Danio rerio: one gene and its partner. The protein of the gene in region 2 purifies or fractionates together with the protein of the main gene of each other region. This does not show direct contact. Links are inferred from orthologs where the notes say so. Each region holds a gene or a part of one and is shown on either strand. Other genes may lie near its edges. The genes, in order: rad1 and zgc:110269.

Region 1 (4,363 bases), on a different chromosome or scaffold from region 2:
TACTGTCAGAATCCTATACCGGCCCATGCCTAACTACACCATCTATGTTTTTAAGAGAATCTCCATACAATCATTGTATGCAACCTGGAGCTTATGGACACTTTATTTAATTATACCACAGAGGAGCTGTGTATAAAGAACTGCAATAAGTTCTAAAGAGGTTTAACTTTTAACCTGCTCCGAAAACTTTCTCCCTAGCAAATTTGCTTCAACATATAACTTTAAACGTTCCCTGTACATGTACTTTTTATCACTCATATCTTCTGTAATGACATGCCCTAAATATTTAACAGCCTTACTAGCATTTAAATTTTGCCGTGACATCATGTAAACACTCCTTTTTAACCTAACCTTTTTTATTATATTGCACATCATAGTTCTCTCTCTCTCTCATATATATATATATATATATATATATATATATATATATATATATATATATATATATATATATATATATAAACTTATTTTTATCACATGTTAAAGCAACTCTTTATTCCACCACACGAAGATAATACAATATAACGTGATAAATGCTTTAGCAATGATAAACAAAACAATCTGATTCCATCATGACAATCTCTTGCAATAAAGCATATCCCAATTCACAATGAGCTAGCTAACGGATTAGCTAGTTAACGTAGCAGGTTCATTTGAAGTAACGTTACATGAAACTACCACAGTCGTTACATTGCACCAACCACGTAAGCGTAGAGTATGTTTACTTAAAAGAAGAGGTAGAGATGCTATTGTTCACAAAATTCGCTTTGTTGCTGATATGGTCTGGTTGCCATTGAGATAGATAAACACAAACAAACAAACAAACCAGCTGGGAACTCCACAATCTTATTAAACTGTATATACAATATTTACAATTACTGAACAAAATGGCACTTTATAAAGTAAAATAAACTAGTAAATGTCATAACCCTACCTGACTTTTGTTTGGTTATGTGGCACTTCTGTTGGACCGACCGACCGCTTCCTCGCATCTGTCTGGCGACGGCCCGTCCAACTCGTGATGAAACGGAGGGGTGTACGAGTGCATCTTAAATATATTTATGTTTGAGATCTCGCCTTCTTTAAATTAAATAAACACCCTTATGTCTCATAAATAACTGAATAAGCGGTTATGTTATCTGTTTTGCAATAGTGTAGTAACACAAATTCATAGCCAACTTTAAAAACCTACCCCCTCCTAATACTGTAAACGTTTATGTATGAACTCGTCCTGCAGTTCTGCATCAGACCCATATGCGCGCGCGAGACAACTGATGGGAAGCTAAACTTAGTCAAAATCACAAGAAGAAGAGCTAATGGCAACAATTTAAGGGCGCCAAACTCTAAAATGATATTAATTTGTCATATTTCATATATCTAACAGGTGAGTTCAGCAACAGGAACATGTACTGTGTATGTTTAATGTTCGCCCTTTCACGGCCTGACGCCATTTTAGCTAACTAACTTAGTAACGTTAGTAACTTACAACTAGTTGCCAATATTATGTTTATTAATTCTCGTCACAATTTGTAAACAGCTGATAGAAACTTGTTCATGTTTCTGTTAAAGACATTTTCAAGTTCATTAGAAAAATTAACATTCAGATATCTCGTTTTTTTAATAAAAGACGGCGACAATACATTTTTCTGTGTTTAACTTGTTTTTAATTGTTATGGATTCCATATTTTAGTATTATAATTGACAATTATGATTATGTTTGCATTCAAAATAGAACATAGTAGCCATTCTAGCACACATTTAAACAACATTAGTTTTACTTACAAAACAAGTTAGAAAAAATAGTACAAAACAAATATGAAAATGTTAAAACTTCAATCTGATATGCAAATTTGATGTTTTTTTTTTTCCATTTAACGATTGTTATCTGTAAACTATTGGACCAAATACTGCCTACATTCTTTAATTAAATTTAATATTTTAACTTTTCTGTGAATTTATTGTATACAATATTTACTACTTATTTATTTAACATTTCTACTTTGAAATGTCATTACAGATGTAATAACATGCCTCTGTCAACTCAGTCCCAATCCGATGTTGACCAGTACATCCTGATAGCCAGTTTGGACAATGCAAGGAATCTGTCCAACATCCTAAAAGCCATCTCTTTCAAGGATCATGCCATCTTCAATGCAACACAGAATGGGTTGAAAGTCACAGTTGAGGACTCCAAATGCCTTCAGGCCAATGCATTCATTCAGGTTGATGTTAGCAGACAAATTCAGACACTTTCTGCTGAGAACAGTTGAATCTTTAAGCATATTTGTGTATTTTCTGACATCAGGCTGACATCTTTCAAGAATACATCATCAAAGAGGATGCAGTTGGCTTTCAGGTTAACTTAACTGTTCTTCTCGATTGCCTCACCATCTTCGGGGGAAGCACAGTGCCAGGTGTGTATTACAATTGTGATCCAGTCTTTTTTTGGGAAATGTAACATAATCTTTGTTTTTATTTTATCATTAAGGTGTGTGCACCGCCTTGAGAATGTGCTACAATGGATATGGATATCCACTAACTTTGTTCCTGGAAGAAGGTGGTGTGGTCACTGTATGCAAGATTAACACACAGGAGCCCGAGGAGCCCATAGACTTTGACTTTTGCAGTACAAACGTGACCAACAAGGTGATTCTGCAGTCGGACAGTCTTAAAGAGGCTTTCTCTGAGCTGGACATGACCAGTGAGGTTCTGCAGATTACCATGTCACCGAGCCATCCTTACTTCAGGTACAGTAGTTATGAACATGACATGTTTGAAGTGGTTTAAATAAGGGATGTCCAGATCACGTTTTTTTTTTTGTTTTTGCCTCCGAGTCATTTGATTTTGAGTATCTGCCAATACCGAAACTCGATCTGATACTTTTATAATGCATTAAAAAAATAAAGAAGAGCAAAGAAATAAATCCAGTATGTTCCTTATTTTTTATTTAGTTCACTGTATTTTAACATTTAACAAAGATCACTTCTGTGAGGTAGCTTGAACAATCAAGTAATAAGTAACATAAATTCTTCACTTTTGGACTTAAGTGCAACATTAAATATTTAAAAAATCTAATATTAAACCAAAAAGCACCTTATCTTAAAATACTCAGCAGGCAACGCTGCTGTTTCTGTGTGAAGTTAAGAAAGAGGTCTAACTCTGTGACATCGCATAACAATATATGTGTTAAAAAAAAACAAATATATATATATATATATATATATATATATATATATATATATATATATATATATATATATATATATATATATATATTGATCTTGACATCTCTAATTTAAATGTTTATTTTTTTTCCATCTGATAAAAAAATGCTTACAAGGTTTCTTTTATTTTTATAAAAAATTGAAAAATCACAGTACATTTGTGAAATCTTCCCACAATTTACAGTATGTGTTTGCATTGTGATATTTAAGAATGCTGTTCAGTCCTGTGATGGCAAAGCTCAACTTCCAGCACAATGTGTCCAGTCTTCCACATCTCATGATCCTCCAGAAATCATTCAAATGCACTGATTTCCTATTTAAGAACAGTATAAGATTTTTTAGAAATGGTTATTGATACAGTTTTTGTTTAATGGAAAGCTCAAATGAAAAGCATTTATTTGAGGATAACGTTATTTATTTTGATAAATGCAGGTCAGAATATGTTTTCCACTTTTAAACCTTTGGTGATATGATATAAGCATTCAGGGTTTTTTTAACAAATGAAAAAAACAAACAAAAAAATTTGCGGTTTGTTTTTTATTTATTTATTATTAACTAATTTAATGCATTTTAATTAATTTATTTATTTGAATATATGGTTCAAATAGAAAAATAATAAATGTAATTTTATATAATGTAGGTTAAGTGTTTATGTTATTAATTCATATAATTTTGTGAAAAATATTTATTTTTGACTCAGAATAAAAGCAGGACACATTTATATGTGCAAGGAAAAATGATCTGAAGCTGCTTTGTACTTTTTTTGCTTTCGTGCTTGTAAAAGCTTTTAAAAACATTTTTCCTTTTCTTCCTAGATTATCCACATTTGGTAATTCTGGAAATGCCCATTATGATTATCCCAAGGACTCAGACATGATGGAGCTGTTCCAGTGTACAAAAATACAGACCAACAGGTAGCAAAACAGACTAACTTTTCACAGTTGCCTTTTGGTTCTCTTTTTGTTTAGTCCAGATCAAAAACAAAAATGATATGGTTAATCCAGGTTCACTTAGAACTCAGATGACCATTTTGTTCACCTAAAGATGCCAAACATAATGAACCTGTACTTTAGTTTGGTCAATGTTTGCAATTGTTCCACATTTCAATATATGGTGCCTGGTCGTCTATGATCCCTGCT
Region 2 (4,348 bases):
TCCTTTATTTATCAGGAGTTACCACAGCAGAATTAACCACCAACTATTCCAGCATATGTTTTACACAGCAGATTCCCTTCCAGCTGCAAACCATTACTGGACAACACCCATATTCTCTCACATGTACACATGCACTCATACACTACTGCCAATGTTGATCATCCATTTCTGGATTATAATTGTCCCATAAATTTAATTTGGTGGCATAATATCCTATACCAGTGGTTCTCAAACTGTGGTACGTGTACCAATAGTGGTACGCAGGCTTCCTTCTAGTGGTACGTGGAGGAATAAAATATGTCATGTACATGCTATACACATTTCAAAATTTTTCAAAAATTATGTAAATAATATGCCATATGTGACATTTAGCCTATATTTCTGAGGTAATCTGCCACATTTTTTTTTTTACTTTGCAGAGTTGTAGCTGCTTTACTGGGTCTACTACGCTACTGTATTTCAATACTGCTCATTTTTGTGGTACTTGGAGAGACAATTTTTTTCTGAGGTGGTACTTGATGAAAAAAAGTTTGAGAACCACTGTCCTATACTATACATATATTAAGTTACACTGAAATAAAATACCTCGACTATAAAGCTGTACATACAATTGAAATAAAAAACACACTCTGAAAGCCATTTGACAAGCATTATTTAGAAGTTTCATCTAACATGTAATATAATTATTAGCATTTATAACTATTAGCATATAAAAAACATAAATCATCCACAGAGGACTTTACATTAAGATTTTTCAGTATTTCTCGGGTTTTATGTAAAGTCAACTACAAGCTTATAGCTTTACTTTCATTCAGCTTGGTTTGAAAAAGCACAAGTGTTAGTAAATAATGACAGAACTTTCATGTAAGAACAACTATTCTCAACAAACCCCAAAATACAGTTTATTGTTTCTTACCGACATCAACATCTGTCAATATCCTGTCAATGAACTGACAAAGTATCTGACGAGGTTTCTGCACTGCCTGGTTGTACTCAACCGAACTGGCACTGGAAAACACAAAACAAGCCTTGTGTTTGATTTATTCTTTAATAACGTTAGTCATGTTAAAGACACTTTAAAAAAATAATAGTCGCTGTTAGCAGCCATTGACGTTACCTTGCTAATTCTTGCAGTGCAGGAATCATTGCTGACATTTCTAGTCCTTGCTCCATCTTTACTTGGTAAATGAGTTCTTATTATTTGCAAAAAAAAAGTTTAGGTCGTGTTGACCTAATGAAACATTTAGAATAATGTGAGCCTGCCCATCCTCTGCTTCTTCCCCACGCGCATCACTTTCAAAACTCTTTTCGCACTTTCGCCGTCTACTACGGCAAGTGAGTTGGGTCAGTCTGTTGTAAGCAAAGGAAGTCTTGAAACGATTTGATGACGTATGTCGAAGTACCCTATCAGTACCATGTTACCATGGAAACATCGTGAGACCCTGGCACGATGCGGAAATGAAGCTGTGTGTGCGATGAATGACCAAAACAACAGTTCATCGAGCACTATTTACTGCTAAAAACGCTGCTAATTTAATATGGGGATTACAAAATTAGCGCATTTAATTCATTTCGACGCACCAGCGTCAATGCGCAGCAAAGAGATCGGCGATTATTCTGGTAAGATTAATGCATTGAAGTTATAATGTAGTTAAACGTTAACAATAAGGATTCAGACATATATATATATATATATATATATATATATATATATATATATATATATATATATATATATATATATATATATATATATATATATATATAGTGATTTGGGGGCCCTAAACTGTTCCAGCCATGGGGCCCAACAGTCCTAAAATGCATCCTGTAGTTTTATTAACTTTTTAAAATTTATTTAGCTGTTTTTTCCCTATATCACTGAATCTTCTTTTTCATGTTTTATCTAAATTAAATCTCTACATTTTAAGTGATTTTTTTAAATGTACAAAAAAAATCGAAAATAATGAATTGTTTAAAAAACTAAATCTTTATCTGACTTGACTGCTCTGTGATTGGGGGTGTAAGAAACATTTGGGTTATTTCTGCTGGCAAAACCTTTAGGATTAACATTTTTATAAAGCACATGAATAATGTTTTAGTTTAGAATTAGTTTCTTATAATCAGTATTTAGTGAATATATTTAAAATGTCACCAATGGGTTGTATTCACTGTGTAAAACATATGGATAAGTTGGTGGTTCATTACGCTGTGGCAACCCCAGATTAATAAAAAGGGACTAAGCCGAAAAGAAAATGAATAAATAAATGAATGAATGAATTGTTCATCAATATTTTAGAAAACAAGACTTCATATATTTTATCATTTTGCTTCTCAAGTAAATGCATCTTGATTGAATGAATTTTTAAGGTATTTGTACTGTGAGGCAACAAATGATTTAATAAAGAACCTATTTTTTAGGTACTGCGAGGTAGAAGTATATTGGAAAATTTGTAGAAAGTATTGCTAATGCAACTTATTTTGTGGTTCATAGATATTTACATTTTTAAAACATGGTGATGGATTGTGTTGTGTCAATGTATTCTATGGTCTTTAATGTGGCCTTTTAAATGAACTTTCATAAAACCTGTAGAACTAAAACCTTCAGAATAATAAATTATGTGCTCTATTTAATTATTTATTGTTTATTTGTTTGTTTGTTTGTTTATTCTAATCAATTTAATAATTATTAAGATAAAACAATAATATTTTACAATAATACTTATATTTAGTTTTATCCTAGTTATTTATTTCATAATTTTAAACAAATTGTGGATAACATATTATATATTCTAATCTTATTTATTCATTGTATAATCAGTATGCTATTATAATTTAATTCTAAATATTTGTTTAATTTATACTAATGTTTGTTTATTGTGTCATTTATTTATCTTAATAAAATGTGTGATCGTTCAGTTTTGTTTTTGATACTTTTTTGCCATTTTTATTCTTTATCTTCAAACTTTCCACTCACCTTGTAGCACTTCCTTGCAGCTTTTTAGCTTTAAAAAACCCTGTTCTTCTCAGAATTGTCTCTTTTCTGTTATATTTACCCAAAATAAACTGTATTAAATGTCATTTATCTGTGATTCAGGTAAGATTATCGCACTAGATACATCTATTGTGGTGAATCAGTTCCGTTCAGCTCTCCCTGGCCATCTGAAACTAAGGTCAGTTCAATTCATTTTTTGTATTGCCCTTCTAGGGCTGGGCGATTAATTAAAAGGTCATTGAAATCAACATTCAGAACCCATAATCGATCAAATTTTTCAAGGTCATTTTTTTCAATTACGTTCTCTACCATGTGTAGAGTCAAGGGTTCGCGGCCACATCTGATCTTGGGTCAAGTAAGACGATGGAACTGTTATTGAGCCTTACTTTGCACTACAGTGACAATGATTGGGAGCTGCGTCAGAGATGCCTTGAGCCGGCATATTTTCCATTCATTTAAAATAATTATTTACATTAAAATAGAAGATGCAATAAATGCACTGTTTAAAATATTATTAATGTTGTAATAAATATTAATGTTAATTAATGTTGTAATAAATATATAATAAATATTGTAATATGTGAGCTTATTTCTTGTACAAAACTTGTCAGTGAACTATATGAATAAAACATGAATTAATAATCAATTAATAATTAATAATTAATGAATAAATTAAATAATTGTTCATGAATAGTTATTGAGTTAAACTGTTTAATTAATTGGGATTTAGATTTTCGGCCAAATTGCCCAGCTCTTTATTCCATGTTATATGTTTCTGTTTACAAAATGAATATCTATTGTTGCAGTCCCCTCGCTGGCTTGTTTTACCGCACTCTTGCTTTCCTGGAGCATGACATCAAGCCTGTCTTTGTACTTGATGGAAAGCCACCCCATCAAAAGAGAGCTGTGGTGAGATTCAGACTTCTGTTGAATAGTTATATATATATATATATATATATATATATATATATATATATATATATATATATATATATATATATATATATACATATAATTAGTTTGTATTTAGTAAAACGTTATTTTTTTAGCTGGAGAAAAGAGCTCAAAGCACAGGCTGGAGCAGCTCACAGAGCCCCAACACAGGTAAATATGTGGCTTCAACACTGTTGCAACTGGATCTGTGAAAAATGTATATTTTAAATGTTTCCTCATATACTCAGTCGATAAGTTTGGAGCTGGTTATATTTGTTCACGGCTTTGTTGTTGTTGTTTTTTTTTTTCAAGCTATTTTATGCTTACAGGGGCTGCATTGTTTTAATCACTACCATAGTATTTTAGAATATTATTACATCATACCATAGCTAACTGTTTTCTATTTGAATATATTTTAAAATG

What was found.
Region 1: the proteins of zgc:110269 (region 2) and rad1 purify together in Homo sapiens (affinity purification with western blotting; 3 studies listed by BioGRID). This does not show direct contact. The link is inferred for Danio rerio from reciprocal best matches to the Homo sapiens genes FEN1 and RAD1.

The regions. Positions count from the first base shown.
Region 1 is NC_133190.1:26,248,501-26,252,863, reverse strand, and holds the start of rad1 (cell cycle checkpoint protein RAD1), read left to right. Parts: upstream 1-1,321; 5' UTR 1,322-1,384; intron 1,385-2,017; 5' UTR 2,018-2,027; coding exon 2,028-2,222; intron 2,223-2,305; coding exon 2,306-2,414; intron 2,415-2,488; coding exon 2,489-2,747; intron 2,748-4,039; coding exon 4,040-4,138; intron 4,139-4,363. UniProt on the Homo sapiens protein: Component of the 9-1-1 cell-cycle checkpoint response complex that plays a major role in DNA repair. The 9-1-1 complex is recruited to DNA lesion upon damage by the RAD17-replication factor C (RFC) clamp loader complex.
Region 2 is NC_133177.1:18,816,536-18,820,883, forward strand, and holds the start of zgc:110269 (probable flap endonuclease 1 homolog), read left to right. Parts: upstream 1-1,434; 5' UTR 1,435-1,538; coding exon 1,539-1,620; intron 1,621-3,094; coding exon 3,095-3,170; intron 3,171-3,798; coding exon 3,799-3,901; intron 3,902-4,041; coding exon 4,042-4,096; intron 4,097-4,348. Other genes in the region: serine/threonine-protein kinase ATR, read right to left, coding at 917-1,008, 1,118-1,173. UniProt on the Homo sapiens protein: Structure-specific nuclease with 5'-flap endonuclease and 5'-3' exonuclease activities involved in DNA replication and repair.